2 linked regions of the Macaca mulatta genome follow. Each later gene encodes a partner of the first gene's protein in a complex. Links are inferred from orthologs where the notes say so. Each region holds a gene or a part of one and is shown on either strand. Other genes may lie near its edges.

Region 1 (3,814 bases):
TTAAAAAAGGATTTAAATGTCCCAATTTAAAAAATACTACTAATAATTTGATTTTTAAAAAGTCAGTGCAATGGAATACTACTCAGCATTAAAAAGGAATAAACTATTAATACACACAAAATAGGTGAATCTGCAAAGTATATACTGCATGATTCCATTCATATAAAACTCTAGAAAATGCAAGTAATCTATCATGACAGAAAGTAAGCCAGTGGCTGTGTAGGGATGGTGGAAGAGGAACAGAGAAACTGGGGAGAAGAAGAGGGGGAGGAAGAGGAAGAGATTACAAAAAGGCATAAGGAAACTTTTGGAAATGATGCAATATGATTACTGTTTTGATTGTGGTCATGGTTTCAGAGGCATATATGCGAAACTTATCAAATTGCTTTTTTTTTTTTTGAGACAGATTCTCGTTCTGTTGCCCAGGCTGTGGTGCAGTGGCATGATCTCGGCTTACTACAACCTCTGCCTCCGGGTTCAAGGGATTCTCCTGCCTCAGCCTCCTAAGTGGCTGGGATTATAGGCGCCTGCCACTATGCCCAGCTAATTGTTTTTTTGGTTTCTTTTTTTTTTTTTTTTTTTTGAGACGGAGTCTTGCACTGTTGCCCAGGCTAGAGTGCAGTGGTGCGATCCCAGCTCACTGCAAGCTCCGCCTCCTGGATTCACGCCATTCTCCTGCCTCAGCCTCTCGAATAACTGGGACTATAGGCGCCCGCCACCATGCCCGGCTAATTTTTTGTATTTTTAATAGAGATGGGGTTTCACCGTGTCAGCCAGGATGGTCTCAATCTCCTGACCTTGTGATCCACCCGCCTCAGCCTCCCAAAGTGCTGGGATTATAGGCGTTAGCCACTGCACCTGGCCATTGTTTTGTATTTTTAGTAGAGGCAGGGTTTCCCCATGTCGGCCAGGCTGGTTTCGAATTCCTGACCTCAAGTAATCCACCCACCTCAGCCTCCCAAAGTGCTAGGATTACAGGCGTGAGCCACCGCACCCAGCCCAAATTGTGTACTTTAAATATGTGTTGGGCCGGGTGTGATGGCTCACATCTGTAATCCCAGCACCTTGGGAGGCCAACGTGAGCAGATCGCTTGAGTCCAAGAGTTTGAGAGCAGCCTGGGGAACATGGCGAAACCCCATCTCTACAAAAAATGCAAAAACTAGCCTAGTGTGGTGGTATGCACCTGTAGTCCCAGCAACTTGGGTGACTAAGGTAGGGGGATCATTTGATCCCAGGGAGATTGGAGCTGCAGTGAGCCATGATCATGCCACTGTACTCCAGCCTTGGCAAGAGTGAGACTCCATTAAAAAAATGCATTTACTATATGTCAATTATAACTCAATAAAATGGAAGGGAATGGGGGAGGGAGCAAGGGAGAAAGCCAATAGGGAAGGAGGTTGGTTATATGAACTGATAAGCCATATGACAATCTACCTGGCAAGGTCAATCACCAGAGCAACCTAAGGAAAGTTACTACCCAATCACCAAAATGTTCTCATCTTACTCTTCTCCCATCATCTAACAGCAATAGAGTAGGAGCAGAAATAACTAGCAGCTACGTTTACCAGACAGTCTTAACCATTTTACATGTATTATCTCATTTAATTTTTACAACTTTTAAAGTATGTATCATCTATTATTATTCCCACTTTATGAATAAGGAAACTGTGATTCAAACGTGGTGTGCCTGACTCCACAGCCTGTGTCTTTAGCACTCTGCTATAATCCCTCCCTATTGCCTATGAACTTATCAACCACTTACTCTCCCCTCTTCCCCCACTTGTTTAGTGGTGTTTAACACTGAGGGAAACATTTTCCAAAATGACTCAGCAAGTGAACAAAAGTGGATCAACAGAAACCTCAGTGAACTGCTTCCCTCCTAACCAGATTTATTTTAGGTATCACAGGTGACTTTGTTGATTCATTCTTTCTTGCAAAGTACCTAACACAAAGTACAAAATCATAAAACACCCTGAAAATCTGGAGTTACTAGTAAACCAGCTATTAGCCTGCTCCTCTTGCCATACCTGCAGTTCTTCATCTATAAGGAATGATTTCAGGTCTAAGATGAGGATAGGATAAATTGCCAGACATGAAAGGACAAGCAAAGCAGAGATGCTTTAGAATGCAGGAGGTAAAGGCATTTTATTTATTTTTGGTTTTGCTATAAAAATATTACAGATAGCTACAAAACAAGTTTAATATATACTGTAACAGTTGTCAGATTACATACCCAGTTGTGCCCAAAGTGGGTTATATGGATGAGTCTTTGCCAACATGTCCACACTCTGAGAGGAATGCTTTTCTAAAAATATTTTTATAGGTGGCTGTCCATTTGGCATGACTGTTGGAACCCAGGCAAGATGATTAGTCAGAACTGCAGTAATGAGAGCTGGCAAGAATCTGAAAACAAAATACATCTGATCAAATTCCAATCTGCCTTCATGAAACCTTTATGTAGTGACAAAGTAAGCAAGAAGAGTATATATGTTCATGTGGCCAAATGGCACCAAAAAAAGCAGAGGAGAGTGGAAAGGATGAGTATATAACACCAGGATTAAAATGAAAGTTAATTGTTTCCGGTTGAGAAGGAGTTAAAAACTACTTAAAATAAAGGTAACATTCAAAAGAGCTATTGTAGATCATAAGTACAAAACAGAAATGCCCTTTTACTTCAAAAATTATGGATTCTTTTTCTTTTTTTTGAGATGTAGTCTCGCTCTGTTGCCCAGGCTGGAGTGCAGTGGCGCAATCTCAGCTCACTGCAAGCTCCGCCTCCCCAGTTCATGCCATTTTCCTGCCTCAGCCATCCGAGTAGCTGGGACTACAGGCACCCGCCACCACGCCCGGCTAATTTTTTATATTTTTAGTGGAGACGGGGTTTCATCCTGTTAGCCAGGATGGTCTTAGCCAGGATGGTCTCGATCTCCTGACCTCATGATCCACCCGCCTCGGCTTCCCAAAGTGCTGGGATTACAGGCGTGAGCCACCGTGCCAGGCCCATTATGGATTATTTTCAGTGTTTAATCACACAATTCATTACTGAATCAACCAGCAGGTCCTTACATTTCCAAATTACTGAATGGGAAAACGAGGCAAAGTATTGAGCAAACTCCGTCTATCATCAAAGAGAATAAAAACATCTGAATTACTCATCTGGATTCCAAAGACTTGAATAGTTAAAAGAAAACAGTATGATAAAACATCACACTGAAAATGCATCACTAAAATCCTAGCATTTCCTTACATGTTTTTTTTCGTTTGTTTATTTTTTTGAGACAGAGTCTGGCTCTGCCGCCCGGGCTAGAATGCAGTGGCATGATCTCGGCTCACTGTAAGCTCCACCTCCTGGATTCATGCCATTCTCCAGTCTCAGCCTCCCGGGTAACTGGGACTACAGGAGCCCACCACCACGCCTGGCTAATTATGTTTTTGTATTTTTAGTAGAGATGGGGTTTCACCGTATTAGCCAGGATGCTCTCGATCTCCTGACCGCATGATCCACCCACCTCGGCCTCCCGAAGTGCTGGGATTACAGGTGTGAGCCACCACGCCTGGCCATCCTTACATGTTTTCTACCTCTTTTCTATGAAATAAAACTATAAGTGGATACAATTCACAAAAAAATGGGCAGCCTCAGACAATTCTATGTCAGGAATTTTAATTACATAATTACAGACATTTTCACTGCTTTTCATTCATAAGGTTCTGTAATATTCTTCCATACCCTATCATTTAATTATTTTTTAGAATTCTGATTATTAATTTTGATTAATAATATAATTTCAAAGATAATGGATGATTCTTCCACAT
Region 2 (4,310 bases), on another chromosome or scaffold:
CACTTTGGGAGGCCGAGGCGGGCGGATCACAAGGTCAGGAGATCGAGACCACAGTGAAACCCCGTCTCTACTAAAAATACAAAAAAAAAATTAGCCGGGCGCGGTGGCAGGCGCCTGTAGTCCCAGCTACTCAGGAGGCTGAGGCAGGAGAATGGCGGGAACCCGGGAGGCGGAGCTTGCAGTGAGCCGAGATCGCGCCACTGCACTCCAGCCTGGGCAACAGCGTGAGACTCCGTCTCAAAAAAAAAAAGAAAAAAAAAAAAAAAGAAGGTTGATCAGCATTAAAAAAGAAAAAAGAAAAAATGAAGTATATTACATGTAGTAGGAAAAGTATTGTTTCATGACTTTTGTTTTAGTGGGTATATGTGTGTGTTGAGCTGTGACTTAAAATGTCTTTCTTAAAAAATTATTTCCTATTTATTTATTTATTTATTTTTAAAAAAAGTTTTTGTAGAGATGAGGTCTTGTTAGGTCACCAAGGCTGGTCTCAAACTCCTGGCCTCAAGTATCCTCCAGCCTCAGTCTGTGTTGGGATTACAGGAGTGAGACACTGCGCTCAGCCTTAAAATGTATTTGTTTTTTGTTTGTTTGTTTGTTTTGGTTTTTTTTTTGAGATGGAGTCTCGCTCTGTTGCCCAGGCTGGAGTGCAATGGCGTGATCTCAGCTCACTGCAACCTCCACCTCCTGGGTTCAAGTGATTCTCCTGCCTCAGTTTCCTTAGTGGCTGGGATTACAGGCACATGCCACCATGCCTGACTAATTTTTTGTACTTTTAGTAGAGACAGGGTTTCACCATGTTGGCCAGGCTGGTCTTGAACACCTGACCTCATGATCTGCCCGCCTCAGCCTCCCAAAGTGCTGGGATTACAGGCATGAGCCACCGTGCCGGCCCTTTAAAATATATTTCTTATGGCTGGGTTGTGGTCAAAACGTTTGAAAGCTATTTCCTTATAGCACCAGCTCTAGGCATCCAGTAGGAGTCTTATGTTGAACTAAAAATGGCATTGGTTGTGCAGGGGGTAGGGGAGAGTAGGCAGTTGAGTTACTATGAAGATCCTTCCTGGAGAGTTCACCCTCTGGCCGATTTGAAAAAAACAAAAGTAAGTTCGGCAAACTTTTACTAGGTATTCATTGTATGCCAGGAACCAAGCACTGCACTCCCTGCCTCTCTGACCTTATCTCCTACTTAACCCTCCTCCATTCTCATGCAACTCCAGCCATACCAACCAACCCTGTTGATCCTTGAGCAGGCATAATTCTGCCTCAGGGCCTTGGTACTTGCTGTTCTGTCCAAAATATTCTTCCCTCAGATAGCCACATGGCTTGTCCCCCACCTTTCTTCACATCTTTGATCAAATATCACCTTTCCAGTGAGACTGTCCCTGACACATACGCCCAACAAACTCATACTCTTTAACTTCCCTGCTTTCTCTCCATTGCAATTTCAATACCTAATATATACTACATATTTTACTTATTTTAAAAAATGTGGCCGGGCACAGTGACTCACACCTGTAATCCCATCACTTTGGGAGGCCGAGGTGGGTGGATCACTTGAGCCAGGAGTTTGAGACCAGCCTGGGCAACATGGCAAAACCCAGTCTCTGCAAAAAATCCAAAACTTAGTGAGGTGTGGTGGTGCATGACTGTAGTCACAGCTACTCAGGAGGCTGGGGCAGCAGGATCACCTGAGCCCAGGGAGGTCGAGGCTGCAGTGAGCTGTGATCGCATCACTGTGTAAGATTTATTAGGTCTGGGGGTTTTGTCTTTCTGTTTGCTGTTTTTTTTCCCTAGTCCTGAGAACACTGCAAGGACCTAAATATTTGTTAACTGAACAGATACTAGGAAGTTCACAGTCTAATGGCGACTTCCCCTTTCTGGACTTCATTTTCCTTTCTTTGTAACCTTAAGGGGTTGGACTAGGGTCTGGAGACTGCCATGGTTCTGTGAGTCGGTGAAGCTGGGATGACAACACTTTGTGTTTGCACGTCATTCTACTGTTTATACCCATTATTTCATTTGACCTTCACAACAACCCACGAGGGAAGCGGGGAGAGGGAAATTGTCTTCTCCTTAGACATGAGGTAAGGAAGCTGAGAGAGGTTAAGCGACTTACCCAAGGTTCCACAACTGATAAGTGGATGGCTGAGACCAGAACCCAAGTCAGACCTCTCAGGTCCAGGGCTCCTTCCTCACCACCACTTGATGAATAGGGTCCTGCCTATTACAAATGCTGCTGCAGACCAACTCTTAGTAATCTTCCGGAGATCCTGTCCCTGCCCCTCCAACCATCCAGGATGGGGTCCAGGTCGCCCCCTTGGGATCCCCTTGGGGGACAGGGGAAGTCTGGCTCCCCTCTCCATACCATGCAGTCCATGAGGATGAATTTGAGATTGTCTTCATTAAATGCTTGGTTCCCGTTCCGGTCGTAGGCGGCCCAGATGTTACTGGCTATGGCAGCGGTGACCCGGGCGTCAGTGTCCCCGTAACCAGAGTAGGCCAGCAGTGATCCCTCGTTATTCAGCAGCCTGGTGAGGGGCGGGGAGGGATAACGATGTGCTCAGCGCGGGGAGTAAAACGTCTGGGTTTCCATCTCAAGTCCCGCCACGGGCACATCCAGCAAGGCTCTCGGCTGAGTGTGTCCCGGAACGTGCCCTAAGCACCCAGCACACCGGCCTCCCTTTTCGAGAGGTGACCTCCCGGCCGGTACCCCCAGCCACTGCCCCCTCTGACGCCTCCTCCCTTCCGGGCGATCCTTCCCCACCCCTCCCTCAGGGAGTCGCACGCCGCTCCACTGCAGCGCGCGCCGCTGGGGTCCGTGGTCCGCACTCACAGGGTGCTCTGGACGCCTCCAGTGTTGGCTTGGCTTAGCACCTGGGTCAAAGCCTTGGGGCGCAGCATGCCTACCGCTCCTAACCCTGGGTTTTTGCACCCAGATCCTCCGAGATGCCTCCCGCGGGCCGCTGCCCGCTGCTTCCCGTAGTCCCGTTGGCCTGCTCCGGGATGCCCTGGGAGTTGTAGTTTCCTCGCCTGGCTATTGTGGTTCCGACTCAACACCGCCCCGCCGCGGGGGTCTCTGGGAATCGTAGTTCCTCGTGACCTCGCGAGGCACCATGGGAACTATAGTTCGCCTTTCCAGGCGGACCACGCGGTTGTGGGGGCGGAAAAGAGCGGGAGTGAAAGGACAGCTGCAGCGCTGGAAGGACATTTAACCCCTTCGGGGAGAAAGGAATCAACGTGTCCGCTTGGCAGTCCACGATTCAATAATTATACTACATCCTCATATTTGTCAGGCGCGCCTTTGGTTACTTTCAAAACAGTTTTCTCCGTTATGCACAATTCTGTGCGATGAGGCGAGAGGTACTATTATTATCTTGAGGAAATCAAGGCTCTGAAAGGCCACGCAGCCAAAACCCAGCTCCCTGGAACCGTTCGCAACAGACCATTTAGGCCGCGACCCTCGGGGCTATAGGGTCAGTCCTAGAGCTGAGATCCTAAGTGGACGTGCTTGGTGGGAAACCCAACCTCCAAGTCGGGAAAGGCCCCTGGCCTGGAAGGGACTTGGGGCTTCCAAGAAAGACCAAGTTATCACAGGGAACGGAGATAAAGCGGCGACACACAAAGTCCTTTGTCCCGGAGCAGAGTTAGCCGCGGAGGGGGCGGGGAGGCTTTGGGCCGGAGGGGACGGCGGCACGGCTCGGGCGAGCAGCGTTGGGCCGCGGTCTCCCGGGGAGTTCGCCCTCGCCCCCGCAGTGAAGGGCACGTCCCTTCCCCCGCCCAGAGCCTCCCCAGGAGCCCCAGCTTGGCGAGACCCTGGCCGGATTCCGGACCTGGGGCTTGGCCCTGGGCGGACCCCGCTGCAGTGGCCCCCCCGGTCCGCCCGGGGCGCTGTGGCTGCGGCTGGTCTGGAGGGGGCGGTGAAGCCTCAGGGAGGGGAGGGGAGAGGAGGGGAGGGGAGGGGAGGGGAGAGGTGGAGAGAGGGGAGTGTTGGAGGCGCAGGAGCCGAGCCGGGCCGGCCGGGCGGGCGGGGAGGAGGAGGAGCCGGGCGGGCTGGCGGGCGGCCGGGTGGCGGCGGCGGCATGGCGGAGCCGAGCGGGGCCGAGACGAGGCCCCCTATTCGGGTCACCGTCAAGACCCCTAAGGACAAGGAGGAAATTGTGATCTGCGATCGAGCCTCGGTCAAGGAGGTAGTACAGCAGGCGGGAGGCGGGGGGAGCGCGGAGGAGGGGTCTGCGAAGAGATGGGGGCCTCCCTGACGGTCTGGCGTCCTGGAGGGCCCCGGAGAGGAGAGCGGGGGCCAGCTGGGACTC

What was found.
Region 2: FNIP1 (region 1) and LAMTOR2 share a complex: the UniProt entries of both Homo sapiens proteins name them as parts of the lysosomal folliculin complex. The link is inferred for Macaca mulatta from reciprocal best matches to the Homo sapiens genes FNIP1 and LAMTOR2.

Annotation. Positions count from the first base shown.
Region 1 is NC_133411.1:140,591,801-140,595,614, forward strand, and holds part of FNIP1 (folliculin-interacting protein 1), read right to left. Parts: intron 2,405-3,814; coding exon 2,235-2,404; intron 1-2,234. UniProt on the Homo sapiens protein: Binding partner of the GTPase-activating protein FLCN: involved in the cellular response to amino acid availability by regulating the non-canonical mTORC1 signaling cascade controlling the MiT/TFE factors TFEB and TFE3.
Region 2 is NC_133406.1:110,879,193-110,883,502, forward strand, and holds the start of LAMTOR2 (ragulator complex protein LAMTOR2), read right to left. Parts: upstream 3,027-4,310; 5' UTR 2,902-3,026; coding exon 2,834-2,901; intron 2,529-2,833; coding exon 2,366-2,528; exon of another isoform or gene 1,348-2,365; intron 1-1,347. Other genes in the region: UBQLN4 (ubiquilin-4), read left to right, coding at 4,080-4,187. UniProt on the Homo sapiens protein: As part of the Ragulator complex it is involved in amino acid sensing and activation of mTORC1, a signaling complex promoting cell growth in response to growth factors, energy levels, and amino acids.